Linked DNA regions of Macaca mulatta. The protein of the gene in region 1 interacts with the protein of each later gene in a pairwise test. Links are inferred from orthologs where the notes say so. Each region holds a gene or a part of one and is shown on either strand. Other genes may lie near its edges.

Region 1 (15,126 bases):
TAGGCTCACTGCCACCTGTGAAGGACAAACTCCTGCTGGAGAAGAATCTCAAGCGGCTGCTACAGCTGGAGAAGAAAGGGGTGAGAGCCGGGGCCATGGCTGGGTGGGGTGGACTCCCACGGAGAGCCCAGGGCCAGGGTCAGCCCTGGCTTGGCTGCTCCTGAACACTTCTCAGAGTCACCCTCTTTCTGCAGAAAGGCCTCAGTCAGTCCTGCTCCAAGAGGGACTCCCTGCTGTGGGATTTGCTGGGCAGCCAGACCAGCTTTCAGTGGACCCAGGAGCAGCCCCTGTCCTGGTTCTCGGAGCTGCTGGGCTCAAGCTCTGGTGTGCCTGAAGCATCAGAGCCGAGGCCTGGAGAACAGGAGCCGATCTGCAAACGAGAGTTCAATAAAGAGATCAAGTCGTTACTGAGCCAGCTGGAGTCCCTCGACCTGCCTGGCTACTGTCCGCTCCGTGAGCCCCATCGCACACTGAACTTCCTGGCTGACCACCGCCTCTTCCCTGCCCTGCAGAGCGTCGTCAACCAGGCTGTGGATAAGCTCCGCGGCGCCCGCTGCCGCGACGGCCGTCCTCTGTTCCCCACCAGCTTGGAGCCCCCCTCAGAGCTGCAGGTTCAACGCAATCTGCCGCCGCTGGGCTCTGAGCCGGCTAAACCCACCAACAGCGGGCAGCCCCACCCCACAGTCTCCAGCCCCAAGACGCCTCAGAGAAAACACAAGGACAGAGGAGGCTCCCCCTCCATGTCTAGTGCCCAGGTGGCCACCAGATTCAAGCTCAAGGTGACACCCATGGAGAAGCCCGATGTCCCCAGCCCCTCACTCCACTCCAGGGAGAAGGAGCCTGACTCAGATCCCAAATTACAAAACCCACCTGTTTCCCTGAGCTCCAGACAGAGGGCCCAGCCCTGGCGGGGCCTGCACCTCACCCTGCCCGCGCCCGGGATAGTGGTGGAGGTGGCCTGCGGCCAGGGCCACCTCAGGGTTGTCACACCTCCACTTGCCTGCCCCTACCCCCGCTCTTCCTGCTACCTTCTCCCTGAGCTCTCCCCAGTTGCTTCCTCATCTCCCTCCTCACTGTGTCCAGAGGTGACCTCCTCGAAGGTAGGACCGGACATGAGTTTGCAGGAGAAAGGCTCCTTGACCCGCCACTCCTAGCAGCCACTATCACTGGCAGGTGCTCAAGGTCAAGGTTTCTTGCCCTGCACTGTGGAAACCTCCTGGGCAGGGGTCAAGCTGATGGGGGCCCGTGAATCCTGGCCTAGCTACTACCAGGTGTTGTCACAGATAAATAAAGGCTATTTATTTATGCTGGGTATTTTTGCTAACGTTTCTATGTGAATCTAGAGACGCTCCTATGTGGGAGTGGAGGGTCCCGTCCCTTGTGGACAGAAGCACTAGCCTGGCCGGGGCCTTGCCTCCTAGGTCTAGTTCCCTTGAATCCAGCTGCCTCCAGCAGGACTCTCCAGTCTCTGGACTTTGCCGAGGGAAAGTTGACCAGGCAGGATGTGCACAAGACGTAGGTGGCCTCACACTCGTGGATCTCCAGCATGGTCCCTCGACCCTTTCCTCGGCCATCAAGGCTCCTGCAGGCATCTCTCTGGGCAGGCCTGGGCGGAAGCCTGCCCAAACCCAGTTGTCAAAGCTCAGATTAACCTCACCCTGTGACAGTTCTCTGCCCTTGCCCCAGGCCCAACAGGTGTAGGAGGTGTGATGGTGAGGTGAGCATGAGAGTGGGCAGTTGAGTGCATCAGCATAGCAGATGTGGCAAAGCTGTACCCTTCGTGTGACAAGTGTGTTTGTCACACGAAGTGTACCCATTCATGTTTGCGATGGGCAGGGCTGGCAGGGCTCTGAGGAGGGCACAGTGGCTGGAAGGGGTGTCACAGAGGGATGGGGCTGGCAGATGTGACATGTGTTCCTTTCCCTCCCCGGCTGCTATGCAGAGCCCCCGCAGCAGTGGCAGGTTCACAAAGAAGAAGCCGCTGCCCTCCATCTCATCGAAGTCCAGCATGTCTCACTTCTCCAACCGCCTTTATGAGGAGCTCGCCGACTTCCTGACCCAGCAGGCAGCCTCCCTGCTCATCCGCAAGTATGAGTTTGAAAAGGACCTCAGTAAGCAGCTGGGCTTCTTCTCCTTTCCTGTCACCCAAGTGCTCAGGGACCTTTCCCTGGGCTTAAAGAAGGTGAAAGGCTCCCGCATCCAGCTGTCCTCGGAGACCCACCGGAGCTGCCTGCTGCGTAAACTGGAGGAGGCCAAAAGGGCCCGGCAGACCTCCCGGCTCAGCACCCCCCACCGCAGCACAGAGACACCCTCTGTGCAGCAGGAACCGGCCACCCACACTGCCCAGGACCAGGCCACAGAGCCCTGCCGCTCCATTTACACTAACTTGCCAGCCAGCCGGCAGCTCAGCCCATTGGAGCCCAAGCTCTCAGTGTCCGCTGGCACCGGCATGGGTTCCAGTCTCCCCAAGTCCAAGGACACGGACAGTGAAGGCCATGATGAGGCCGAGGTTGAAGATGAAGATGAGGATGAGTACAAGGATGAGGACCAGGATGAGGACAAGGAGGAGGATGGAGTCCAGAGCCTCCCAGAACCTGGAGAGGAGGCCTCGGTCAGCCACTCTGTGGACGTGGGCCATAGTGACCCACCATGAAGTCCCCACTAGCCACTCGATTCCCTGCTCTGTCAGAGTTGCTGCCCATCACACCAGCCCCTGCCATGAGCAGAGTCACCACAGGCTGAATGCCCACGAGGAGCTCTGCTGAGACTCTCAGGGGAGCCAGCGAAAGAAATAGAAATAAAGCCTGTGTTGCTGGGACACAGGTTTGTTGTCCTGAGATTTCAGCCGCCATTTTATTTATTTACTTATTCGTTTACTTATATTTAAGATGAAGTCTTGGCTGGGCTCATGCCTGTAATCCCAACACTTTGAGAGGCTGACGTGGACAGATCACTTGAGGCCAGGAGTTGGAGACCAGCCTGGCCAACACGGTGAAACTCTGTCTCTACTAAATACAAAAATTAGCCAGGTGTGGTGGCAGGTACCTGTAATCCCAGCTACTTGGGAGGCTGAGGCGGGAGAATGGCTTTAACCTGGGGAAGCAGAGGTTGCAGTGAGCCGAGATTGCACCACTGCACTCCAGCCTGGGCAACAGAGTGAAACTGTGTCTAAAAAAAAAAAAAAAAAAAAAAAAGTCTTGCTGTGTCTTCCAGGCTGAAGTGCAGTGGCATGATCTTAGTTCATGGCAACCTCCACTTCCTGGCTTTAAACAATTCTGTCCCCTCAGCCTCCTGAGTTGCTGGGACTACAGACGCCCGCCACCATGCCCAGCTAATTTTTGTATTTTTAGTAGAGACGGGATTTCACCATGTTGGCCAGGGTGGTCTCGAATTCCTGACCTCAAGTGATCCACCAACCTCTGCATCCCAAAGTGCAGGGATTACAGGCATGAGCCACCACGCCTGGCCACTAATTTTTTATGTATTTTTAGTAGAGATGGGGTTTCACTATGTTGGACAGGCTGGTCTTGAACTCCTGACCTCAGTTGGTCTGCCTGCTTCAGCCTCCCAAAGTGCTGGCATTACACGCATGAACTACCGCACCCGGCTTTTATTTTTATTTTTATTTTTATTTTTTGAGACAGAGTCTCACTCTGTTGCCCAGGCTGGAGTGCCTTGGTGCGATCCTGGCTCACCACAACCTCTACCTCCCAGGTTCAAGGGATTCTCCTGCCTCAGCCTCCTGAGTAGCTGGGACTACAGGCGTGTGCCACCATGCCGGGCTAAATTTTTTTTTTTTTTTCTTTTTGAGACGGAGTCTTGCTCTGTCGCCCAGGCTGGAGTGCAGTGGCACGATCTCTGCTCACTGCAAGCTCCGCCTTCTGGGTTCATGCCATTCTCCTGCCTCAGCCTCCCAAGTGGCTGGGACTACAGGCGCCCGCCACCGTGCCCAGCTAATTTTTTTGTATTTTTAGTAGAGATGGGGTTTCACCGTGTTAGCCAGGATGGTCTCGATCTCCTGACCTTGTAATCCACCTGCCTCAGCCTCCCAAAGTGCTGGGATTACAGGCATGAGCCACTGCGCCCGGCCAATTTTGTATTTTTAGTAGAGACAGGGTTTCACTATATTGGCCAGGCTGGTCTCCAACTCCTGGGCTCAAGTGATCCTCCCGCCTTGGCCTGCCAAAGCACTGGGATTACCGGCATGAGCCACCATGCCCCGCCCAACACTGGAGTTTGGAGGCTCAGTGGGGCAGTGGTGTACACTGGAGTTGCTTATGTGACTGCTTTCAGCTGCTCACTGAACTGAGGCCAGAACATTCCAGGGTCCCTCTCTATGTGGCTTTTTACCACGCAGTAATCTGGCACTTCATTATCGCAAGGTGCATTGTCTAGCTTCCTAGAAGGATGAAGCCAGACCTGCCAGAGTTCTTATGGCCGGTGCTCAGAAGTCCCCAAACAGCACTTCTTCGGCATTCGATTGGTCAGAACAAGTTGCGCTACCTACCCAGATTCAAGGAAAGAGGAAATGAACTACGTATCTTTGGCTTACGGGGATGGGAGGAATTGTGAGTATTTGGAGACTAGTTACCACCCTTCCTCCTCTCCACAGCTGATTGTACCTTTAGCAGTCCTTGGGCCCAAGTTGAGCCAATCAGATTCTCTCTTGAGAACCTGAACCTTAAGACAAATTATGGTTAGTAGGTGGAGGGCATTGGAGAGGCCATAATCAGCCCTGAGGAGCTGCCCATAGGGTGAGCAGGGGAAGGCAGTCTGCAGCAGGAGGCTGGAGAAGGGAACAGCAAAGAGAGGCCATGAGGCTCCCCGTGAGAGTCAAGGGAGTGCTACATTGGCTTCCCCACTCTAGGTCTGGTATCTCAGCCTACTTAGAATCCTGTCTTGCTTGTCAGGAAGATCGCCTGCTGTGTCCTCACCCTCCTGTGGTCCTAAATGCAACTGGGAAATGGCTGGCAGCTTCTAGCAGGGAACTGGCATGATCTTTTGATCTATGCTTTTACCACTTTCTTTTGAGACGAAGTCTTACTTTATTGCCCAGGATGGAGGACAATGGTGTGATCTTGGCTCACTGCAACCTCTGCCTCCTGGGTTCAAGCGATTCTCCCACCTCAACCTTCTGAGCAGCTGGGATTACAGGCACATGAGACCACGCCTGGCTAATTTTTGCATTTTTAGCAGAGACAGGGTTTCGCCATGTTGGTCAGGCTGGTCTTGAAGTCCTGACCTCAGGTGATCTGCCTGCCTCATCTTCCCAAAGTGCTGGGGAGTCACCGTGCCCAGCTGCTTTTACCACTTTCCTGTGTAGAAAGAATGCTTTGGAGGGGCCAGCATCATAATGGAAGCAGCTAGACCTGTTAGGAGGCAGTGGTCAATATCTAAATGGGAGATGGAGGGGCTTGGGTTAGAACTGTGATGGGGACTCAGGAGAGATGCCTTGAAATGTGATTTGGAATGACAGCCATAAAGACACGTTGAGTGGGCTGGGCATGGTGGCTCACGCCTGTAATCTTTTTTTTTTTTTTTTTTCTGAGACGGAGTTTCGCTCTTGTCGCCTAGGCTGGAGTGCAATGGCATGATCTTGGTTCACCACAACCTCCACCTCCTAGGTTCAAGCGATTCTCCTACCTCAGCCTCCCAAGTAGCTGGGATTACAGGCATGCGCCACCATGCCCAGCCCACTCAACACGTCTTTATGGCTCTGATTTAGTAGAGATAGGGTTTCTCCATGTTGGCTGGGCTGGTCTTGAATTCCTGACCTCAGGTGATCTGCCCACCTCGGCCTCCCAAAGTGCTGGGATTGCAGGCGTGAGCCACCGGGCCCAGCCTATGCCTGTAATCTTAACACTTTGGAAGGCCGAGGCGGGTGGATAACCTGAGGTCAGGAGTTCAAGACCAGCCAGGCCAACATGGTGAAAACCCGTCTCTACTAAAAACACAAAAGTTAGCCGGGTGTGGTGGTACTGGGTACCTGCCTTAATCCCATTAGCTGGGTACATGCCTGTAATCCCAGCTATTCAGGGGACTGAGGCAGGATAATCGCTTGAACCCGGGAGGCAGAGGTTGCAGCAGTGAGCTGAGATTGCGCCACTGCACTCCAGCCTGAGCGACAGAGCAAGACTCTGTCTCAAAAAAAAGAAAAAAAAAAAAGGAAAAAAAAAGAGTTGTTAAATGAGGCACATGTGGAGACTCAAAAGTTAAAAAACTAACTAAATAAATAAAGGCTGGGAGTGATGGTGGTGGCTCACGCCTGTAATCCCAGCACTTTGGGAGGATGAGGCAGGTGGATCACCTGAGGTCAGAAGTTCGAGACCAGCCTGGTCAACATGGTGAAACTCTGTCTCTACTAAAAATACAAAAGAATTAGCTGGGCATGGTGATGCATGACTGTAATCCCAGATACTCAGGAGGCTGAGGCAGGAGAATCTCTTGAACCCGTGAGGCGGAGGTTGCAGTGAGCCGAGATCACGCCATTGCACTCCAGCCTGGGTAACAACAGCAAAACTCCATCTCAAAAGAAAAGAAAAAAAAAAAAGACTTGTTGAATGAGATGTGAGGAGCAACAAGGTAAAGAGATGAATGAAAGAAGAATCCCAAGTTTTGGGCCTGAATGGAGGTGCCATTTACTGAGACTCAGAGGCCTGGGGGAGGGGCAGTTTGAGGGCAGAGACCAGGAATTCTGCTTTGCATGTGTTGATTTTGAGGTGATGGCTGACATGTCCAAGAGTATATATCCGTTGCCTCTCAGATAGTACTTCAGATCTTCCACCCTAGACTGGAAACCCCTCAAGTGCAGTGACTACCAAATCCAGGGTAGACTGACCTTTAACTGTTTGGACACCTAAATGCTGAAAAGATCAAGGTGACTTATACTACATGTAACTCAAAATAAAAACAATATGAAACATGAAACCCCCAAAATAACATGTTGCTGTAATGAAAATCGCTTTACTCTGGATTTTCTGAATGCAAAATTCTGGACGATTTAATTAAATATGAACTTTTGTCTCTGCTTTGCCTGTGCTTCAACTACACCTTAGCCTCTTGAGCCCAGAGCTGTTTCCTCTGTGACCCCACAGGATCTGGAGTGAAGCCGCTGCAACAATGTCCCATGAATGAATAAACAGTGGTATAAGTTTTCCTCCCTTTGAAGGTTGAGCTGACAACACTCTGAGAAGGCGGCAAAAGGGAGACCTACTCATGGCCAGGAGACTGGGACACAGTCACCCAGGCTTGGTTCCCACAGCCCCTTGGTCTCCTTGGACTCTGGTTTCCTAAGACAGCTCTGGGGCTTTCTGGTGGGAAGCTGCCATTATTCTCGACGCCACAGCTCCCTGCTGCCCTCTCCTGCCCGATGACCCAGTGACCACAAGATTTAGCCACGAAAGGAGTCAAATGTATAAGTGGCCAGGGGAATTCAGAAACCCCAGGGTCTAGGGACTGTGGTGACCCAGTGTCAGAGAGGCGGCTAGGGCCGAATGACTGGGGGTTTCATTAATCTCGGGGTCCAGGGACTGAAGGACCAGACGATTCAGTGATTCTGGGATCTGTCGACTTTGTGACCACAAAATCTAGTGATCCAACAGCCTCAAGACCCTGCAGTTGTGGTCCCAGGTTCTGAGGGGAGAGACTAATTACTGAGTGCCCAGGAGTCCAGGATCAAGGGGCGTCGTGAACACGTGCCTGCAGGGTGCTAGGATCCTGAGCTGGTATCCAGGCACTCAGCGGCTGCGGGGCTCGGACTCGGCGTCCTCACCAAGCGCTCCCGCTCATTCTCCGCCGCTTGGCTACTCAGCCGCCCTTCCCTGGACACTCATTGGAAAGTCCTCGGAAGCGTGTACCAATCAAAACCCTCCTCGTGTCTCCAGTCCCCGCCCAGCTACTGCTCTAGCGAGACGGGGGCGGGCCCTCTCCTCAATGACCCAATGGCAGTGCAAGCGGAGTGCCGCGCGGGCCGACCATTGGCTGCCGCGAGCGGGCGCTGTCAGAACTGGATTGGGCCGCGGCGAGGACGGAAGCAGCCCTAGTGCCGGAGCGGCTGGAGCCGGGCCGGGGCGATGTGGAGCGCGGGCCGCGGCGGGTCTGCCGGGCCGGTGCTGTTGGGGCTGCTGCTGGCGCTCTTAGTGCCGGGCGGTAGTGCCGCCAAGACTGGCGCGGGGCTCGTGACCTGCGGGTCGGTGCTGAAGCTGCTCAATACGCACCACCGGGTGCGGCTGCACTCGCACGACATCAAATACGGATCCGGTGCGTGTGACCTGCGACTGAGAGAGCGCGGGGATCGGGGGCTTGGGGTTGGGAGTGTGGAGACAGGGTGGTCGTGGGGGTCTGTGGGCCATCTCGAAGCCGGGCGGCGGAGGCTCTAGAGTCGTTGGGGGGTCGAGGGGCGCAAGGCTTTGAGGGTGTCGAGGATATTGAGGGTGGGGACGGTCGTCGGGGAACTGCAGGCCCAAAGACTGAGGAGGGTGTCAGGCGGGGGCCGGGGCTGGGGGTGAGCCCCTTGGGGTCCCCTGGGAAATGTTATGGTCCCAGGGCGAGGGTCCGGGGTTCTGCGATTGACGGAGACCCTGGGTGAGTGGGGTGTCACTCCTCAGGCAGCGGCCAGCAATCGGTGACCGGCGTGGAGGCGTCGGACGACGCCAATAGCTACTGGCGGATCCGCGGCGGTTCGGAAGGCGGGTGCCCGCGTGGGTCCCCGGTGCGCTGCGGGCAGGCAGTGCGGCTCACGCATGTGCTTACAGGCAAGAACCTACACACGCACCACTTCCCGTCACCGCTGTCCAACAACCAGGTGAGCCCCTCCCGGAGCCCCCAGAGAGATTCCTGGCCTGTGTGAGGGGCCAGAGATCCTGGGTTCCAATCCGAGCCTCAGCTTCTTCGTGAAATGGAAATTTCACTTCAGAGATGGTTATTGAGCACCCCTTCGGGGGAAACAGAGTAACTCCGCCAAGATCCTGCCCCCAGGTGCTCCCGGCCCGGCAGGGAGACCGATGGGAGAGAGATCCGAAGAGATCCTCCTGGATAGCTCTTCCTCTGGGGGCAAGTGGGACCCAGGAGGAGAATCCACACAGCCTTGAGGGTGGGGAATAGGAAACTCCACTGGGGAGGAGGAACTCAGGCTGGGTCTGAAAGGATGATTAGGAGTCCTCCAAGCCACAAAGGGAAAAGAAGGACTTCCCAGGCCAGCAGAAGAGATTGCACCAATGCATGGAGGTCAGTGGAATTCAGGGGATTGGGATGGAACAGTGGGTGCCCTTGGAGAGTTGGTGGAAGAAAATGTTTGAGATAGATAGACAGCTTGACTGCTAGCCTGAGGGGCTGAAGGTAGGTCAGAGGGATTAGGACTGGGAGAATGTGGAGGAGGAGGCCTTAGCTCTGTGGGGACCAGTAGTCTCTGCACAGACAGATGCAATGGTGTGTGCACGTGTCTGAAGAGCCCATGCTGGGGAGGGAGTGCCAGAGGTTGCGCGGGCGGGTCATGGTGTCACCTTTTGCAGCTGTGGGAGCTGAGTCTCCAGGAAGGGCAGGGAAGGATCCTAGGCTCAGTGTAGGTACGAATGCCGCCTTCTGTGGTGACCACTGTCCCCTCACCCTCTGCACCTATAGGAGGTGAGTGCCTTTGGGGAAGACGGCGAGGGTGACGACCTGGACCTATGGACAGTGCGCTGCTCTGGACAGCACTGGGAGCGTGAGGCTGCTGTGCGCTTCCAGCACGTGGGCACCTCTGTGTTCCTGTCAGTCACGGGTGAGCAGTATGGAAGCCCCATCCGTGGGCAGCATGAGGTCCACGGCATGCCCAGTGCCAACACGCACAATACATGGAAGGCCATGGAAGGCATCTTCATCAAGCCTAGTGTGGAGCCCTCTGCAGGTCACGATGAACTCTGAGTGTGGGATGGATGAATGGGTGGATAGAAGGTGGGGTGTCTGCAGGGCCACTCTTGGCAGAGACTTTGGGTTTGTAGGGGTCCTCAAGTGCCTTTGTGATTAAAGAATGTTGGTCTATGATTGTGTTTCACTGTGAACCTGAGGATGACCAGGAGCTGCCAGCCCAGGCCCAGTTGATCATCTCTTCCTCAGTGTAAAACCTGTCTCCATCCCAGCGTGACTGCTGAACCTGTCCAAACCCTTTATTATTATTATTATTCTTGGTTTTTCGGGGGGTTTTGCTTTTTTTTTTCTTTTGAGGCGAACTCTCGCTCTTGTCCCCCAGGCTGGAGCGCAATGGTGCAATCTCAACTCACTGCAACCTCTGTCCCCCGGGTTCAAGTGATTCTCCTGCCTCAGCCTCCTGAGTAGCTGGGATTACAGGCATCTGCCACCATACCCGGTTAATTTTTGTATTTTTTTTTTTTAAGTAGAGACGGGGTTTCACCATGTTGGCCAGGCTGGTCTCGAACTTCCTACCTCAGGTGATATGCCCACCTCAGCCTCCCAAAGTGCTGGGATTACAGACATGAACCACCACGCACGGCCTGGGTTTTGCTTTTTTAGAGATGGTCTCACTCTGTTGCCCAGTCTAGAGTGCAGTGGCATGATCATGGCTTGCTGTAAACTTAAACTCCTGGGCTCAAGTGATCTTTCCACTTCAGCCTCCTGAGTAGCTGGGACTACAGGCACACACCACCATGCCCAGCTAATTATTATTTCTGATGAGACAGAGTCTTGCTCTGTCATCCAGGCTGGAGTACAGTGGCAGTGATCATAGCTCACTGCATCCTGGGCTCAAGTGATTTTCCTACCTCAGCCTCCCAAGTAGCTGGGACTACAGGCATGTGCCACCATGCCTGGCTAATTTTTTTATTTCATTTTTTTGAGACAACGTCTTGCTCTGTCGCCAGGCTGGAATGCAGTGGCAGATCTCTGCTACTGCAAACTCTGCCTCCCAGGTTCAAGTGATTCTCCTGCCTTAGCCTCCTGAGTAGCTGGGATTACAGGCATGCGCCACGACGCCCAGCTAACGTTTGCATTTTTAGTAGAGACGGGGTTTCACCGTGTTGGCCAGGCTGGTCTTGAACTCCCAACCTCAAGTGATCCGCCCACCTTGGCCTCCCAAAGTGCTGGGATTATAGGCCTGAACCACTGTGTCCACTCCCCCTGGCTAATTTTTAAAATTGTTTTAGTAGAGACAAGGTCTCATTGTATTGCTCTGGCTGGTCTCAAATTCCTGAGCTCAAATGATCCTTCCACCTTTGCTCCCATAAAGTGCTGGGATTACAGTTGTATTACTTTTATTTTGAGACAGGGTCTTACTATTTTGCCCTGGCCAGACTCGAACTGCATAGTTCAAGCCTCCTCCTGACTCAGTCTCTCAAGTGGCTGGGATTACAGGCGAGTGTCACTGTGCAATCTAAACCTTTTCAGTGGTCTTCCATGTACTCCAGTGCTGCCCTGGGCATCCCCCTGTCCACCCTCAGGCGATCTGATGGCAAGTGACCCCAGTTCCCTGTTCCCCAGCCCCTTAGCTTTATGAACCTTCCTGTTAAGGGCCAAGGCCAGACCTCAGAGCAGGATGGATGGCAGCCCCACTCCCTGTCAGCTGGGATGAGGCACAAGCTCTCCAGCTCCCTCATCCCTAGATGTGAAGAGCTCACTCTCCTGTCAGTTGTGGCAGTCTTGACACCTGTATTTGACCAAGAGACAGATGAGGATTCTGCCCATCCACTGGAAAGTAGCATCACAGTTTCCCTCACTCGGTGCAAATGGCACCTCACCCACCCTAGCCTGCCTAGGCACATGGCATCTCAGGCCCCCACCATGACCTTTGAAAGTATCAGTGAGATAACAGAACTACAGAAGATACTGCAAGGGAAGGCAGCCGCGTACAACTGCTACCTGCAGAGATCTGAGAAGACTTCCTGGAAGAGTAAGCACAATTTGGGCAGGCCAGAGTATGGTACCTTTAAGGCAGGAACAGATTAAATAGGAGAGCCCTAATAAAGGAAGATCACTGTTAGCTTTGCTGGTGTGTGGGTGGCCTCTAGCGGTTACGGCAGAGATTACAGGCTTCCTGGACTTGGTAACTCAGCTGGGCAGCTGTGGGTTGGCTTAGGACACAGGAGCTACCGAGTATAATGGTTGGCTTCCCTGAAGCAGAACAAAAGAGCCCAAGGAGAGAGGCCAGGGGTGGCAACTGACTGGAAGAGGCTCGGAGTAGTGTGGACAGAGCACCCTGCATTGGATAAATCAATTGACCTTTCATGGTTTTTTTTGGTTTGTTTTTGTTTTTGAGGCAATGTCTCTGTTGCCCAGGCTAGAGTGAAGTGGTGCGATCTCGGTTCACTGCAACCTCCACCTCGCAGGTTTAAATGATCTTCCCACCTCAGCCTCCGGAGTAGCTGGGACTATAGGCATGCACCACCACGCCCAGCTAATTGTAGTATTTTTTTCTAGAGACAGGGTTTTGCCATGTTGCCCACGCTGGTCTCGAACTCCTGGACTCAAGTGATCTGCTCACCTCAGCCTGCCAAAGTGCTGGGATTACAGGTGTGCACCACCACGCCTGGCCTCAGTTGACCTTATTAAAGGATGGAGCAGCTGGACATGGTGGCACACTCCTGTAATCTCAGCGCTTTGGGAAGCTGAAGTGGAAGGATTGCTTGAGCCCAAGAGTTGGAGACCAAGAGTTGGTGAGCTATGATGGTGCTACTGCATTCCAGCTGGGCAATAGAGAGACTCTGTCTCTTTAAAAAAAAAGGCCGGGCGCAGTGGCTTACGCCTGTAATCTCAGCACTTTGGGAGGCCGAGGCAGGCGGATCACAAGGTCAGGAGATCAAGACCATCCTGGCTAACATGGTGAAACCCTGTCTCTACTAAAAATACAAAAAAAATTAGCTGGGCATGGTGGTGAGCACCTGTAGTCCCAGCTACTGGGGAGGCTGAGGCAGGAGAATGGAGTGAACCTGGGAGGCGGAGCTTGCAGTAAGCCAAGATCCTGCCACTACACTCCAGTCTGGGCAACAGAGCGAGATTCCATCTCAAAAAAAAAAAAAAAAAAAATGCCGGGCGTGGTGGCTCAAGCCTGTAATCTCAGTACTTTGGGAGGCCGAGATGGGCGGATCACGAGGTCAGGAGATCAAGACCATCGTGGCTAACACAGTGAAACCCCGTCTCTACTAAAAGAATACAAAAAAAGTAGCGGGGTGAGGTGGCGGGTGCCTGTAGTCCCAGCTACTCTGGAGGCTGAGGCAGGAGAATGGCGTGAACCCGGGAGGCGGAGCTTGCAGTGAGCTGAGATCTGGCCACTGCACTCCAGCCTGGGCGACAGAGCGAGACTCCGTCTCAAAAAAAAAAAATGGCTTGGGGTCGGGTGAGGGGGCGGGAGAAAAGCTCTAGCCAGTTATGAATTTGAACTCCTGGGCTTAAGCAATTCTCTCATCTCAGCCTACCAAAGTGTTGGAATTGTAGGCGTAAGCCACAGCACCTGGCTTTTTCTTTTTTATTTTTTTGGGGAGATAGGATCTTGGTCTGTCACCCAGGCTGGAGTATAGTGGCTCAATCACAGCTCACTGCAACCTCTACCTCCTGGGCTTAAGGGGTCGTCCCACCTCAGCCTCGAGTAGCTGGGACCACAGGCATACCATACCACACCTGGCTAATAGTTGAATTTTATGTCGAGATAGTGTTTTGCTATGTTGCCCAGGCTGGTCTCAAACTCCTGGGCTCAAGTGATCCTCCCACCTTGGTTTCCTTTTTTTTTCTTTTTTTTTGAGATGGAGTCTCACTCTGTCACCCAGGCAGTGCAGTGACTTAATGCAACCTCTGCCTCCCGGATTCCAGTAATTCTCCTGCCTAGCCTCCCGAATAGCTGGAATTACAGGCATGTGCCACTACACCTGGCTGATTTTTATATTTTTAGTAGAGACGGGCTTTCGCCATATTGACCAGGCTGGTCTCGAACTCCTGACCTCAGGTGATGTGCCTGCCTCAGCCTCCCAAAGTGCTGGGATTGCAGGCATGAGCCACTGCGCCTGGCCCCCGCCTTGGCTTCTGAAAGTGCTGGAATTATGACCGTGAGCCACTGCACCCGTCTTCATCGTTAAACTTCTTGAGGATCATCTACAAGTCTATCCACCTCTCCCATCACTCATCTGACCTGAGAGGATTTGAATGGAAGTATTGCTGGCATAGAGGAATGGGGCTGTGAGAGGGGACGGGAAAGAAGCCAGTGAAAGGTACATTATTGAGCAAATTACCCCCGTGGGCAACTGGAGCTCAATCCCATTGGGGATCTCTGGGACCCAATGCAGAATGTGCATCAAAGTTATCCTACCCAGCCGGGTGCAGTGGCTCTCACGTGTAATCCCAGCACATTGGGAGACCAAGGTGGGTGGATCACTTGAAGCTAGGAGTTCGAGATCAGTCTGGTCAACAAGGCGAAACCCCAGCTCTACTGAAAAAAAAAAAAAAATATATATATATAAATTAATTGGGCATGGTGGTGCATGCCTGTAATCCCAGCTACTTGGGTGGCTGAGGCACTCCAGCCTGGGTGACAGAGTGAGAGTCTATCTCAATAAATAAATAAATAAATAAATAAAAGCTATTCCACCCAAGGGGCAAGGAAGTGAGGTACTCACCTCCCAAAGTAGTTTCCCTCACAGGCTGGGTCTGCTGAGTGCATGGCGGGAGCCACTGTAGCACTTTGCACTGGCCTTGTACATTGGCTAAGGGACTCCTGAAGCCAGAATACGGCCCCCAGGGTGAGCCTCAGGTAGTGGCCATGAGGATCCTTTCTGTAGAGGTGAGTGCCAAGGGGATGTGGGTGGGGCACCAACAGGATGGACTACATCCTATGTATTCATCCGTTCTCACACTGTTATAAAGATACTACCTGAGGCCGGGCACAGTGGCTCATGCCTTTGGGAGGCTGAGGCAGGCGGATAACCTGAGGGTAGGAGTTCGAGACCAGCCTGGCCAACATGGTGAAACCTTGTCTACTAAAAATACAAAAATTCGCTGGGAGTGGCCGGGTACGGTGGCTCACACCTGTAATCCCACCACTTTGGGAGGCCGAGGCGGGTGGATCATCTGAGGTCAGGCATTTGAGACCAGCCTGCCTAACATGGTGAAACCCCGTCTCTACTAAAAATACAAAAAGTTAGCTGGGCGTGG
Region 2 (16,402 bases), on another chromosome or scaffold:
ACAGGTGCCCAAGGTGGTCAGAGCACAATTTAGTTTTATACAATTTTAGGGAGACATGAGACATCAATCATCATATGTAAGATGAATGTTGGTTCTGTCCAGAAAGGCGGGACAACTTGAAGCGGGGAGGGAGCTTCCAGGTCATAGGTAGATAAGAGACAAATGGTTGCATTCCTTTGAGTTTCTGATTAACTTCTCCAAAGGAGGCAATCAGATATGCATTTATCTCAGTGAGCAGAGCGGTGACTTTGAATAGAATGGGAGGCAGGTTTGCCCTGAGCAGTTCCCAGCTTGATTTTTCTCTTTAGCTTGGTGATTTTGGGGCCCAAGATTTTTTTCCTTTCACAGCCTTCACAGGTCTCCTCTGAGGAACAAATGCTTGTAAATTACTTAGAACACTCTCTGGAACGTAGTTCACACTAAAAATATGTTATGAGTATTGTTATAACTATTATTTTCTGCATATTCCAAATTAACATAACATATATTCAGAATTTTTAATGGCAATAAGATTGTAACTATACAAAAATTTAAAAATAAAACTCTGGCATTGAAGAAAATAGAACAGAAAAATCACTTTTAATCACATATCCGTTCCCAAATGTTATCAGTGGTGAATTCTTTTACATCTTTTTCTATTTAAATATGCATATGCCCACATATATTTATACACTTTACTTTCTTAATTATTATATTACAGTTTCTGTAACATACACCATGGATTCAGAAACACTTTTTTCCCCAGTTTTGAACATCTATTAAATTGTTCTTATTTATCACCTACAGCTTTTTTGCATTTTTTATTTTTATGGATACATAATAGTTGTACATATTTATGGGGTACATGTGATATTTTGATACAAGCATATAATGTGCAATGATCAAATCAGAAATTGGGATATCCATCACTTCAAACATTTATCATTTGTTTGTGTTGGGAACATTCCAAGTTGAAATATACAAGAAATCATTGGTAACTATAGTCATCCTATTGTGCTATAGAACACTAGATCTTATTCCTTCTAATTTTTGTACCTGTTAACCAACAACCTGTTTTTATCCCCTCTCCCTACAACCCTTCCCAACCTCTGGTAACCACCAAATGCAAATCAAAACCACAGTGAGATATCATCTCACCCTAGTTGTAATAGCTATTATCCAAAACACAGAAAATAACAAATGCTGGGGAAGGCCTGGCTTGGTGGCTCACACCTGTAATCCCAGCACTTTCGGAGGACGAGGTGGGCGGATCACAAGGTCAGGAGATCAAGACCATTCTGGCCAACATGGTGAAACCTCATTTCTACTAAAAAAAAAAAAAAAAAAAAAAAAAAAAAAAAAAAAAAAATTAGCTGGGTGTGGTGGCACACCTGTAGCCCCAGCTACTCAGGAGGCTGAGCCAGGGGAACCGTTTGAATCCAGGAGGCAGAAGTTGCAGTGGGCAAAAGATTGCACCACTGGACTCCACCCTGAAGACAGTGAAACAAAGAAAGGGAAGAAACAAAGAAAGCTTGTACACTATTGGTAGGATATAAATTAGTACAGCCATTATGGAAAACAGTGTGGAGGGTTCTCAAAAAACTAAAAATAGTATTACCATATATCCAGCAATATCGGAAGGAAAAGAAATCAGTATATTGGAGAGATATCTGCACTCCCATGTTTATTGCACCACTATTCACAATAGCCAAGATATGCAATCAACCTATGTGTCTATCCAAGGGTAAACTAATAAAGAAAATGTGGTACATACACAGAGTGGAATATTATTCCACCATAAAAACAATGAAATCCAATGATTTGTGACAACATGGATGGAACTAGAAGACGTTATGTTAAGTGAAATAAGGCACACATGAAAAGACAAATGTCATATATTCTCACTTTTATGAGAGAGCTAACAAAATTAATCTCATGGAGATAGTGAACAGAAACACTTTTCTGAGAAAGATAAAACTATCTCATCTAGTTTATGATGTATCCCAAGGTTAGAAATGTTGAAAATTTTTCAAAAATAAATCCTAACATAGAATAGGATAATTTAGATCCCATGATATATGCATTGCTAGGTTCTCTAGCATTTTGACACATTTTCTTACAGTCTTTCTCTAGGCATATTTGTACTCAATATAATTGTGCTTCCATTGTACTACCAGTCGTTCTCCAGTATTAGTGTGCATTAGAATCTTTCAGGGGAGCATGATAATAACATATGTTTTGGGACCCAGTTAGGAGTATATTTGAATCATGTAATATTACGGAAGGGTGACAAATTCTATGTTGTTAACAAGAAAGACAAGAGATTGTGAAGCAGGCAGTCTGTGTGAAATGCTTCAAAAATCACCAATGCATACTGACATGGACTCCTTTCTCCTAGACCAAAACTTTAGTCAGGCTTCTTTGAGCCTTTTTTTTTTTTTTTCAACTAGGCCTTCTCTTTTGCCAACTGAGCCCAGTTTTAGCAAATAATCCTGCTCAGTCAGTTTATCAAGAATCCTCCCACCTTTGCCATCCAATCAAGCTCTTCTTCCGCCACTTTTGATGTCTATTCAAGTTCCTCCCCTTCCTCTGATAACTAACCAAATTTCTTAGTAGTTTTCACCCTCTCCCTCACGTTTCCCAGTGGCCATAAAATCCCAACTGTCTCAGTAGTATTTGGAACAGAGTTCAATCTCTCTCCCATCTTGCAAGAGTCTTGAATAAAGTCTTCCTTGCTGTTTTTTTAAAAACAAGAATCCAGTGTAATGTTTCTTTTATAATACAATGCTAATTTTTTTTCATTTTTAATTTGCTGTGTCAAATTAAATTTGCTGTGGGAAATGCAAGTCTTTGCTTCTAGAGAAATGAAGTGACTTGCCTGCTGTTCTTTAGTGAAGGGCAGAACTGGGCTAAGGATTTGAGGATCCCCACAGAGTCATAATGGCCACATTAAACATTTATTCAAGGTTGGCATGGGGGCTTATACCTGTGATCCCAGCACTTTGGGAGGCCAAGGTGTTAGGACTGCTTGAGCTCAGGAGTTCAAGACAACCTGTGTAACATAGCAATACCTCGTCTCTACTAAAAAAAAAAAAAAAAAAAATTAGCTGGGTGTGGTGGTGCACATCTGTGTTCCCAGCTACTTGTAAGGTTGAGGGTGCAGAATTGCTTGAGCTGGGGAGATTGAGGATGTAGTGAGCTATGATCATGCCACTGCACTCCAGGCTGGGCAACAGAGCAAGACCCCATCTCAAAAACAAACAAACAAACAAAAACAGAACATTTACCTAAGGCATAACAGAATTTCTGCTCCTAGACAGATGGAATTTTTCTCCCACATAAAACAACTAAAAAGTTGGATGAAATACAAGAACAAGCTGTTCTCAAGACCTTCGACAGCAGGCAACAATGTTTAGTGATCCCTGAGAAACTGGGAACAAATGAGGTTATTCTTATGATTGCCCCAGCTTATTTCCTGAAGAAAGTTTTCAGGTCGCAGTGCAACAAGCAGGAATCCAGGCAAAACCCCATGGTATCCCAGAGCTTAGAATAAGAAGTTGGGAGTCCAAGGAGGGCAAGGAAGCTGGAGTTCACAGGGCTGTGTCCCAAAAAGGAAAGAGCCGCACAGAGAAGGAATTCCAGAGATCCATGGAGAGCCACTCTTGAATATTTACCTGAGTACTGTTAAATAATAAACTTAGGCACATTAAAACTTTGAAGAGTTTATTTGAGCTGAGTTTATTCATGAACAGAGCAACGCCAAACTGCAGGTGGTTCAGTGTTCCACCAAGGGGGCATATGAGGGAAAAACTTTTGTAAAATGTTTTCTAAAGCAAAACAAAGAAAACATTTGATTTTTAAAAGTGAAAGGTTTCTAGTTAGTGGTTAATAGGCAGCTTTTGATGGGTGAAGTCTCTAGTTAGAGGTTAGTTGGCAGTTTTTAATTGGTTATGCTTACATTTTATTTTCCTAGGCTATGACCATTCACTATGAGTTGGGTTTCAATTTGCTTACATAGAAACTCTAGTTTGCTAGAGTCACCTCAGTCTAATGGCCTGCCAATTATTTTAACTAGTACTGATCACTCTGATCATCACATATCTGTAGGAAAACTACCCCAGATCAGGAAATGATCTACCAAAAAGGATTAAAGGAAATAATTCCTTAAGTTCACACATGTTTGGGAACAGCGCATGTTCCCACTAGCCAGAATTGGAAACCTCATAATTCACAGGACATCAGATAGAGTACTCAGAAAGAATTTTCCTCATTAGTGGGGAACGATTAACTCTAAATACAACACTAATCCTTTCTTACAAAGTTTTAAAGCAAGAATCTAAAAGACCAAACTTTACAAAAACTGTTTTCCAGAATACAAATTAATATAACTCCAGGGATACGAAAATACCCAGCACTCAATAGGTGAAACTTACAATGTCTGACATCCAATCAAGAGCCTACAAAGAAACAGGAAAATAAAAATCATCATGAGAGAAAAAGCAACCAATCAAAACTGACCCAGAAATGACAACGATGGTAGAATTATATAAGGACATAAAAGCAGATAATTAGAACTTCATTGCATGTGGTCAAGAAGCTACAGGAAAGAGTGAACAAGTTTAGTGGAGACATGGAATATAAAAAAATATTTAAAAGGCTCAAATTAAACATCTAGAGATAAAATCTACAATGTCTGAAATGAAAAAATATACTAGATGAAGTTAATGGCAGATTACACATTGTAGAAGAATAGTATACCTGAAGACATAGCAAAAGAAACCATTTGAAATGAGACACAGAGAGAAAAGACTGAAAAATTAACAGAACATTGTGGTTGTGTGACAACCATATTGATAGTCACTTGAAATGGAAATTGTCTTAGCCCTCTAATTACATGACGGAGATTGTCGGAGTGGATAAAAAAGCAAGACTAGGCCCCTAATATCCTATAACCACAAATACAAGCTGAGAAAAAGGCCTCTTTTGCTAAAAATATAAAACATACCATGGTCCAAGCATCACTAAGACAGTACCCACCAAAACTAGCACAACTGTAATTCAAGTAGGTCTTTATGCACACCTCTGTAGGATATAAACTGGGACATTAACACGTTGAGGTGTCTAGAGAAATCTGTAGTGATCAAGACCAGTGGAGAGTGCAGAACTGGGAGGAGTGGGTGGGTCATCATAGCTGAGGGATGGAGTGGGACTGTGACATAGTTTGGCTACCACTCCGAGCAGCTGAAGGGGATCTGAGGTACTTGGATTCTGAATGTACAGGTGAAAACATGAAGTCACCCAACACCGTTCACTCACATGCCCTTTACCTCCTTTGGGTCTCACAGCAGCCCTGGAAATTATCATCTCCATTTTACCAATGAGTATAGTAAACACTAATGCGTTACCATGGCAATAACTACTAAGTTTACATAATCAGCTAAAGGATCCAGAACTAGTTTGAAATTCATTATTCTTTTTCAACAAATTTTCCACTCTTTTAATAACTGACACATTAGTTTGCTTCCTCTTTTAAAAACCAAATTTTAATTACGAACTAAGTAATATGCATTAATTTAGGGAAAAAATAGACAACAACTTAAAATTAATTGATACTCATGTGATCTTAGGAAAAGAAGGTGTTGAAGAAAATATTTTAAAACTTTCTTAATACAGTTTTTCTTCTGCTCAAAGCAACAACAAAAATGCATTACTTTACAGTCAGAAACACAAAGTTCATTTGTGTGAAAACGATTTTTTAAAATGGGCATACATCTGAAGATTTCTCTCTTCATATGAAACTCAGCAAAGTTTATTTTTATTAAATAGAAAATATTTTCCATCAGAGTAAATTTCTAAACATGCCAATTGTGACTTTTCAAATGTCTGGCAAACTTTTTTTTTAATTAGATTTTCAAGTTTATAGGGATGCCATATTTATTGGGTTATGTAGAGTTATATCACTTAGAAAGCATTCCAGCTGGTTACACATGAAATATCAACTACATAACATGCTATCTTTCTGAAAATTTAAAAATTGGACCTTTCTAAACAAAATCAGTATATTTACTATATAATATATGTGATGTCAGGAAAGGAGAAAGAGTAGACGTGGAATTTTGCCCATTTCATTTATGAAACCCAAAACTTTTTCTACTTCTAAGACAATTTTTAAGTTTCGTAAATAAATAGTTCTGTCCTGTTCTAGTAAATAAATATATTTACTTTATATTTCTAAATTTACAAAAATACATTTCAAAATTGGACTACATTACATCACTGTGAGTGGACTTCTGAAATGTGATGGTTTGAGTTTTGAAAATCAAGAGCTAACTAACCGAAAGCTGATCAAATGTGAGTCAATCAGCTTTGATAAGTGGAGAGGAGAGATTAGAAAAACAGTAACAAACATGGCAAGCTAAATATATTTCTTTGGCAGGGGCTTTGAAAGAGGCAGTGTTCCTCACAAGAGGCTCTAAGCCTAGCTTTATCATGATAAAATATAAGATGAAGATTAAAAAACTTACGAATGGTATCTTTGGATGACTGGATTATGGTTTTGTTTATATTTTCCCTATATTCATGATCCAAATATGTATGATGACATTATATAAATAATTATAAAAAGTATTAACATTTTAAAATGTTCTTTATAGAAACTTTTAAAATACGAAAGTATTAAAAAAAACACAGGCTCAAAAATGTTGTTATATATTGTTTTAGATAAACTATAATCCTAAAATAATTTAATAATTAATTAGTAAATGAATTAATTAAATGAATTATTATGCTATGAAACATCTACTATACTAGGCACTGTGCTAGAAACTGAGTTCCAGGGAGATTAAGACAAAATCATTGTTGTGAAAGGGCACAGGTTGGCATAGAAATGATAATGCATAATTTATTTAATAATTTCATAATTATTATACATTTATTATTAATAATAAACTCATGATAAGGTATTAGTTTAATAGGATATTTGAAAAGAGGATAAAACAGTACTGGTTTAAGTATAAACATACATTGATGGTCTAATGTAGTCTGATTTTGGAATGCTGTACTTTGGAAACGTATATTCTTTGTGGAATCAACTAAGTAAGGTAATTTGGATCACGATATTTGTAAAATGGTGTAATTACTGTCAATGTTTCTCTATGCCTATGTTGTCAAAACTCAGATGTGTGAGAATCACTTGGGAAACTGTCAAAATAGTAATTCCTGATTCTGGTGATTCAGGTGGTGACAGTGGCTGGTAGTGGGTGGGAATAGCACCCAGCTGTCATCATTTTTAACACTTTCCCTAGGTGATTGTGATTCAAGTAAGGGGTCTATGTTTCCCTAAACACTAACATATACAAGGTTTAAAAAAAAGTTTACAGAATTTGAGTTAGAAACTTTCCTTGCTATGTTCCTTTGGAAACAATGTAATGCTTTCCACATAACTAGTTACTTGCCTTTGGCCCCTTAGTTAAGGATAGTGAGTTAGGGACAGTTTTGAGCTGGATTTCTAACTCTATCTTAGTTAACTAATCAATCAAAATATTAGTAATTTCATATCTACTATGTCGGGCACCATACCAGAAACTGTCTGGAGAAAAGGGCACACACTCACAAAGAAATAACAATACCAAATACTTAATATAGTTTTTAAGAACTTACAAAGTAGTTTCATGGTTCAGGTATGGACAAGAAGGGAGTGTGTTTCCGCTTTAAAGAAAATGTGTTCCCCCAATTAACTTACAGGTCTGGGTAAGTCTGTTAAACTGGGTGGGCAGGCCTGCCAAAAGCCTCCTTTGAGAAAATCCATGTCAAGGATAGAAACACAGGCACAAATAAAGCCTTCAGCCTGTTTGTATTGTGGAGGTTTGCAGTAATGCAATTCAGGGCACACTTAGATGCATTTCCTGAGCTAGTTACCAGTGCACTCTTGTCTGAGTTATTTGAAGGAGTTATGAAAGAAAACCAGAAAGGGCTATTTTTCTAAGAACCAATGTAACCCCAAGAACCACAAGAGTTGTACTCACCGGGATAAACATAACTCAAGTTATAAAGACATTCTCCACAATTCTATAGAGGTCAAATGGGGATTTGGCTCACGAGATACTCCAGAGAAATCAGTGGGGCTTTGTTACCTTGAAGACCCTAGCACCTCATCAACAGCAACAGAAACAGGATCCAGCAGAAAGGAAAGTGTGGCCAATTAAGAATTTATTATTAATAAGTAATCAGGGGAGCAGGAGGATTGCAAATAACAAGAATGACATGGGGGAACCCACCTATTTTCACTGTCTGGACTTGGAAACATGAGTGATAATTCCTCCAGTCCTCCCTAAGTACCTGATGGGGGTCCCGGTCCTGTTAAATGTTGGGGAGTTGGGAACAGAAGTCAGCCCAACACAGTTCCACATTTCATCAGTTCCACTCAGCAGCCCTGTAAGACAAGCATTGTTCCCCATTTCACAGAGCAGAAAACGGGCTCTTTAAAGGAATGTATCTGTAATAAAGGGAAGGTTTATTATTTCAGTTAAGACTGAAGGATACTTAGTTTACTCTTCAAATTTGTTGAGCCAGTATTGTTATGTATCTGCACTACATTCATAATCTCATTGAAAAATAATTTTCATTGCTTCTCAAACTCCAGAAAATAAAAGGAAAAAATGTCACATATCATTTTTTTTTTTTTTTTGACTGAGTCATGCTCTGTCGCCCAGGCTGGAGTGCAGCGACGTGATCTCGGCTCACTGCAACCTCTGCCTTCTGGGTTCAAGCATTCTCCTGCCTCGGCCTCCCGAGTAGCTGGGACTACAGGCGTGTGCCACCATGACCGGCTAATTTTTTGTATTTTTTTTTTTCAGTAGAGACAGGGTTTCTCCGTGTTAGCCAGGATGGTCTCGATCTGCTGACCTCGTGATCCGCCTACCTCAGCCTCCCAAAGTGCTGGGATTAGTTATCACACAGAAATGTGCCCCAATTAACACTCTAGTGTATTTAATCTCAGATTTTTTTTTAGTTCATCTGTTATATGTAAGTATACATTTTTAATGAGACAATAAATGTATAGATTGCTTTTTAAATTGCTTTATTAGCTTTAAATTTTTCCATGCAAATGGGTGAAACTACTGCTGACAGAAACTTAGACTGAGTGCAAAGGCAATTTCCAAATAGAAGCTGGCAACACAAGACCCACTTGACACATGGAAATAACAGGGTTCACAGCAAACGGATCAGTAAAGGCATATTAGGAAAATGCAAGGAAAAAGAAAACAGCGGGAATCACAGTATTAATCTCATGATAAATGGCAGGAGTCAAGGCATAAGGCAAAATTCATCATGATGGTCATGGTGATTAGAGAGCTCCCCCATAAGGATACGCAGACAATTCCTCAACTGCAGCTCCCTAAGTTTTCTCCTGATTTCTCTCATCTCCTCCATGAATATTTCCATATCATCTCCATCTCCACCCATCCCATCATTGATCTGCCTATTGGGTATGGCCCATCGAAAATTAGGGGCAAGTCGGCGCGCCTGTCCCCGTCGATTTCCTGCAGGCTGGTGGCCTTCACCTCCTCCCAAAGGGCGGTCTTCCTCTCCATTCTGCATAGGCTGCTCCATCTCTTCGTTTTCCTGGTGAATATTTGCCATGATGAGATTTTTTTTCTGGTTGTTTTTCTTTGAACACAAGTAAGACAAAGGCAAGGAGAGAGACTGAATGCTTGGTGCACTGACCAGCAGGATTCAGAACCCTGATATCAAAGGATTTTTTCATTTCATTTTTTCCTAAGTTGGAAGTTCCGTGCGTCCTCTAGGGGGCCTCCAATTAGAGCCCCTCCCTCCAGCTTTCTCCCCTTACCTCCCTTCCCCCAAACCCACCATTTTTCCTTTCCCAGGATTCTTTCCCAGAGCTTCGCAGGCACCAAAATGGAGGACCGGTATAGGAGTGGGGGATGGGGTGGAGGGGGTTGGGGTCTCAGACTGGGCTTTCCTCACGTTCCGACCCCCGCCCCACCACCGTCCCTCGAACCGACCTGGGCCTATCCTTGCAGTTTCCTCCTCCTCCGGATTCTCGCTGCTAGGTGCGCCGCGGGGACACTTAGCCTCGCAGACCTGCAGTCGGGCCGGGGTGGGGGGAGTGGGGGCTGCTGCAGCGACACGCTAGTGAGGACCAGCCGCCGCCGGCCCTTTCCCTGCCCTGGGCCCGGGCTCCCCTCGCGCCAGCGCCCCGCGTCTCCCACCCCCCGCTCCCACCCCACCCTCGGCCGCCCCGCCCCCCGCGGTGTTCCCCGTTTTCCTGCAGGGACTCGGGGGTGGTTTTCCATCGCTCTTGGTGGCTCTGCCGCCCCTGGAAACCCAGCCGCCCCTGCTTCCCCACCCTTGGGGGCCTCTATGTTCCCAAGCATGTTGGAGTGTGGAGAAAACTGGCGGGGACCCCTGCGCTGTTCTGCGCCCGTTGCCGGGGTCGGTCAGCCGCTGCTGGCATGGCCGGGGCGCGCGGGCCCCGGGGCCCTTACCTGCTCCGCTTTTTCCCGGGCCGGATGCCAGCCCGCCGAGCTCAGGGCAGCGGGGAGCTGGTAGACAGACGCGAGTGACGACTGCACCGAAGGCTGCGTCGCTCTGCAGCTCTGGGTCACGTGAGGGCCGCGCGTCACCACCGAGCTCGCCCCCCAACTTGGGCGGCCAGTGCAGCAGGATCCCCCTTCCCCCCCACCGCCATATGCACGCGCAAAAAACAGCCTCCCTACTCCCGTCTGCGTGAAGTGCCCCAGAGCGCACAGCCCTGTCACTCTTCTCGGTCCTCTCCAATCTGAGGGCCCACAAGTGGCATCACTGCTCTGCGGTTGGAGTTTGCCCTCCTCTGGTTACCAGGGAGGGTCTGCATCATCCACCACCGCCCCCTCTCACTTCAGGCCTTGGTTTTGGCCTTTTCTGCTTTCTCTCCTCTTCTACCTGGCAACATGCTTTGCGCTGCACTCCCACTCCTGCCCCTTGCGTGTGCACAGCCATCAATGCCCACGTAGCCCCTGAAGTCCTACCATTCTAGAAAATTTAGAGTGATGGCTAAGGTGGTGAGGCAGGAGGGCACTTGTCAGAAAGAGGGGCAAGGAAGTGGAGTGGGCTGTATATATTTCTTTTTATTTCCTTAAAAAATCTGCATGCTTCCGAAAATTATAAATTATAAGTTTTTAATTTTGAAAGAAATGCTGGCCAGGTGCGGTGGCGTACCTGTAATCCCAGCACTTTGGGAGGCCGAGGCGGGCGGATCACTTGAGGCCAGTAGTGCGAGACCAGCCTGGCCAACATGGTGAGACCCCGTCTCTACTGAAAATACAAAAATTAGCTGGGCGTGGTGGTGGGCGCCTGTAATCCCAGCTACTCGGGAGGCTGAGGCAGGAGAATCGCTTGAACCCGAGAGGCGGAGGTTGCAGTGAGCCGGGATCACACCACTCTAGCCTGGGCAACAGTGCGAGAACCTGTCAAAAAAAAACGAAAAGAAAAAAAAAAAAGGAAATGCTTTATCCTGCAGAATGAAATCTCTGTCATTGTTTATGTTGACTTGTGCCACACGAAATATTTTCTCTGGGCTCCACACAACATCAAACCATTACTTTTGATACATACTAGCTCGTTTAAAATTTTATTTTTGGCCGGGCGTGGTGGCTCACGCTTGTAATCCAGCACTTTGGGAGGCCAAGGCGGGCGGATCACGAGGTGAGGAGATCGAGACCATCCTGGCTAACATGGTGAAACCCCATCTCTACTAAAAATACCAAAAAAATAGCCGGGCATGGTGGCGTGTGCCTGTAGTCCCAGCTACTCGGGAGGCTGAGGCAGGAGAATCGCTTGATCCCGGGAGGCGGTGGTTGCAGTGAGCCGGGATCGCACTACTGCACTTTAGCCTGGGCCGCAGAGCGAGACTCTGTCTCAAAAAAAAAAAAAAAAAATAAATAAATAATAAAAATAAAAAATTATAAAAAGGCGGCACTCTTTCTGAACACAGTTAGTGTTTTCAAAATGATCTGTAAAGTAAATCTTCAGGGAGCAGTCCGGTCGTCAGATCTTCACCATTTTATGTAACTTTGATGTTTTTGATACCACAGTCATCAGAGAAAGGGAGTCTTTTATTCCCTGCTTTCCTTTCCAAACCTTTCAAACCACCCCTACAAATATCTTTTTAGTACGAGTTCAGAAGTTAAGTACATATTATGCAGAAATTAGTTTCAAAACCATCTACCCTTTGGTGCGAATGTTTAAAAATATATTAGAAAAAAGCAGGGGATGTGTGCAACAACTTAACTTGAGACTGAACCTCATCCTGAGTGCAAATGTTCCTTTCTCCAACTTGAAATCATTTTTTAAAAAATTATCACAGCTAGAAAATGGAGATATCTTTAGGAAAGTGGCATTGTTATAAAAAAATTTAGTATCTGTTGTTTATGATCAGGAACCAAAAGCATAAAATGCAGCACTGAGGCAAGATAAGCCAGACAAATGTTTACTAACTCTAGTTTTGGCCCCAGACTCCTATAGAATTTCCTGCCCTGCCAAACCAGATGACACAGTGAATAAAGGAAGAGTATATGCCCAATGCATATGTAGTTAGAGGTTTTGGAAATATAAATTCCATATAAAATTACATATATATTCTTCTAGAAGTATATAGATATATTAGTACATTACTCCAAAACATCAAATTATAAAATCACACTCAATATTTGTCTTTTAAAGAAATATTAGTGATTCCTGGATTCTGTCTCACAGTTAAGAACTTTTTATACAGATTGCTATATTAATGATATCAGCTGGAATGATGCAGTTTCAAAGCATGAACAGTAGTATCAGACAATTCTGGTTTCAAATTCGGTAGGTTGTTTACTTGATGTTCGACTTTGGATCAATTACTTATCAAGGTCTGTGTGCTTCCTCTGTGAAACAAGGATTGTTAGAATTACACATAACAATAATTTACTACATAGCCTAGTAAGTCATCAATTTTTGTTGACATTATTTTTATCGTTATGAGATGGTTTCTAACATGATTTGAAGAGTAGCAGAGTATGATTCTTTCCTTACCTAGACCCACTTGTTCTTAAAATCCATCAGGGCCCAAAACATGCTTGCTGTGTTCTATTTTGCATACCCAGTGACTAATAGTGTTCCTTGCACCAAATAGGTGATTACTGAGTATTTGTTGAATGAGTGTATCCAGTACTGAGGCAAATTGGTTGTTTTTCATTCTGGGGACTGTATTTAGAGCAATACAGAAAAGCTTTTGTGAAAATTAAGAATTACCTAGAAAAAAATCTCCTGAAAGCTGAGAAGCCACTGTGATGTGACTATTGGATATAAAGTTTAGCAAGTGGATTTTTATTTCTTTTGGTGGCTAAGTGCTTTGCTTTTTTTCTTTTGACCTATCTTGGATAAATCCTTTGTTCAAAACCACCAAATTTCCTTGGATGAAAACAGACATTTGTTTGTAACATCCAGATTGGATATTATGCTATATAGAAGATTAGTGCCGGGCGCGGTGGCTCAAGCCTGTAATCCCAGCACTTTGGGAGGCCGAGACGGGCGGATCACAAGGTCAGGAGATCGAGACCATCCTGGCTAACACGGTGAAACCCCGTCTCCACTAAAAAAAATACAAAAAACTAGCCGGGCGAGGTGGCAGGCGCCTGTAGTCCCAGCTACTCGGGAGGCTGAGGCAGGAGAATGGCGTAAACCCGGGAGGCGGAGCTTGCAGTGAGCTGAGATCGCGCCACTGCACTCCAGCCTGGGCGACAGAGCGAGACTCCGTCTCAAAAAAAAAAAAAAGAAGATTAGTTGTAATAAAGTAATGTTTTAAAGATAGGTGAAAATTGTCCTGGAAATGCTGTTATCTTTACTAAAATGTTGTGAATAGGAGTTGATTGAGATGTTTTCTTGACCTTGGAGTTTTCTGAGGAGTTGGAAATAGATAGCACACTGTTGAGAACAAAAGCAGAAATTTTTTCAAGGCCAAGTTAGAAGGACACTATATTCTGCATTTGGGATTCATGTGTCCCAAAGGGCAAAGAGAAGGTGAACTGATTAGATGGTTCTTATCCACACACACATTTTACACATGTTTCAAACCCAGGAGCCTCAATTCTAATCTGCCCTGGAGGGACCAGGAGGACTCAGAATGAAAAGTGAGATTGGCATTTGAAAATCAATAGAACCAAATCTTTAATCTGACTGAAACTATTTTAATAAGCAATAGTGACTGAAAAGTTGAAGAACTGGACAGAAATGTAGTTAAAGAAGCCCATTACCCCGTGTGAAATGGGGGAGGGGGTGATAGAACACTGCTGATACAGTTATTGGAAAAATAAAACTGTTTCATGATTTGACCTCAACTAGTGAAGATCCCTCTATTGTATTAGTATCCCATCAGAGGAAGCTCGTTTTTGCTGAAATCTTTATGTGTATTGCCATAATATGGCTCACATGTACTTGTCTGAAATGCACCCCGTTGGGCTGTGGTTGTTGTCCTATTTTCCTCTCATTATTTCTCCTGTGTGAATGCTAGGCTTCGGAGAAGGTAGTCTGAGCCCTAGTGGGCCCTATGGGTACGAGTATCTCTGTTCCTGCCCAGAATAGGTTCTCTATGTACCTCTCTGATGCTTTATTGATATTCTTTTATTGTGATTCTCTCTTTCTCTCTAAATTTACGCACTGATTACAGACTGAAACTAGGTATTAAGAATATAGGAAATTATGCCTACTCCAGCTTTCCTCTAAGTTATGGCCGTTGTTAACTTTGATGCCAAGATTTCCAAAATGTGGAATGAATCTGATGAAATTTTAAGGGTGTCCCTGTAAGAGTTTCGATGATTTGGGAGATAACATATTTAATTCAAGGTATCTAGTCTGAAAAAATAAAAGGGCTATGAGACGAAGATGTCTGAACGTGAAAGCAGCAAATACTCAGCGCCTCATTATCTATTGGAGAACTGAGGGCTATTCTTTTCTTTATTTCATGGATTGCAGATAATATCTTGAGACACCAGAGACCCATGGCCACTCTTTCCTGTCGTTTAGGACTCTGGTGGAAAAGGAGCTCTGCCCTATACAGTCTCCTAAACTGATGACATTAGCTGGACTATGTGTAGGCCAAGAGAACTCCTTTGGCCCTTCTAGATTCAGGCCGAGGCAAGCACCTTTCTTACTTTTCCCTGGACTTAGGGATGAACTTTGAGGAGTAACAAAACTCGTGCCTAAACGTTCATGAAGTCACTTTTTCTTATTTCACTGTTATTACTCCCATGTAAGTTCCATTGCTAGTACACAGTGCAACAAAGGGAACCTGATTTTTTTCTTTCTTTCTTTCTTTCTTTCTTTCTTTCTTTCTTTCTTTCTTTCTTTCTTTTCTTTCTTTCTTTCTTTCTTTCTTTCTTTCTTTCTTTCTTTCTTTCTTTCTTTCTTTCTCTCTCTCTCTCTCTCTCTCTCTCTCTCTCTCTCTCTCTTTCTTTCTTTCTTTCTTTCTTTTTTTTTGAGATGGAGTCTCGCTTTGTCACCCAGGCTGGAGTGCAGTGGCATGATGTCAGCTCAGTGCAACCTCCGCCTCCTAGGTTCACGCCATTCTCCTGCCTCAGCCTCCCGAGTAGCTGAGACTACAGGCGCCCACCACCACACCCGGCTAATTTTTTCTATCTTTCAGTAGAGACGGGGTTTCACCGTGTTAGCCAGGATGGTCTCGATCTCCTGACCTTGTGATCCGCCCGCCTCGGCCTCCCAGAGTGCTGGGATTACAGGTGTGAGCCACTGCGCCTGGCCAGGGGACCTGATTTTTCACACAAATTTAAAAGACAGAGAATAAACGGGAGAAATATATTTATACCATATGTGCTGTGGGTTGAATTGTGTCCCCCCAAAATATATATTGAAGTCCTAAGCCTTATAACCTCTGATTGTGACGTCATTTGGAAACAGAGCCTTTGAAAATATACTCAAATTAAGGTGATGTCATTAAGCTGGGCCCTAATACAATATGACTGGTGTCCTTATAAGAAGAGGAAAACCAATCCAAGGACAGAGGCAGAGACTGTAGTGATGCAGCTTCAAGCCAAAGAATGCCAAGTATGGACAACCATGACTAAAAGCTAGGAAGGAACAAGAAAAGACTCTACCCAAAGTCTCTGAGGAAGCATGGCTTTGCTGACTCCTTGATTTTGAGATTCTAGCTTCCAGAGCCATGAGAGGACACATTTTTGTTGTTTTAAGCCACCCAGTTTGTGATACTTTGTTACAGCCATCCTAGGAAACCAAAAATATGTGAAAGAAAAAGAAAGTTAACATCCACTATATTTAAAGAGCCCTTACAAATTAATGATAAAAAAATGAACATACCAATGGGAAAATGAGAAATGGATATGAATAAGTAGTTTACAAAAGAAATAAACATGGC

The links.
Region 2: the proteins of CCDC116 (region 1) and BEX3 interact in binary tests that used the Homo sapiens proteins (3 or more experiments, as listed by UniProt). The two-hybrid records come from large-scale screens. The link is inferred for Macaca mulatta from reciprocal best matches to the Homo sapiens genes CCDC116 and BEX3.

Annotation. Positions count from the first base shown.
Region 1 is NC_133415.1:31,348,171-31,363,296, reverse strand, and holds the end of CCDC116 (coiled-coil domain-containing protein 116), read left to right. Parts: coding exon 1-80; intron 81-194; coding exon 195-779; intron 780-1,942; coding exon 1,943-2,653; 3' UTR 2,654-2,835; downstream 2,836-15,126.
Region 2 is NC_133426.1:110,014,147-110,030,548, reverse strand, and holds BEX3 (protein BEX3), read right to left. Parts: upstream 10,587-16,402; 5' UTR 10,488-10,586; intron 10,084-10,487; exon of another isoform or gene 10,005-10,083; intron 9,649-10,004; exon of another isoform or gene 9,622-9,648; coding exon of another isoform or gene 9,592-9,621; coding exon 9,286-9,591; 3' UTR 8,951-9,285; downstream 1-8,950. UniProt on the Homo sapiens protein: May be a signaling adapter molecule involved in NGFR/p75NTR-mediated apoptosis induced by NGF. Plays a role in zinc-triggered neuronal death.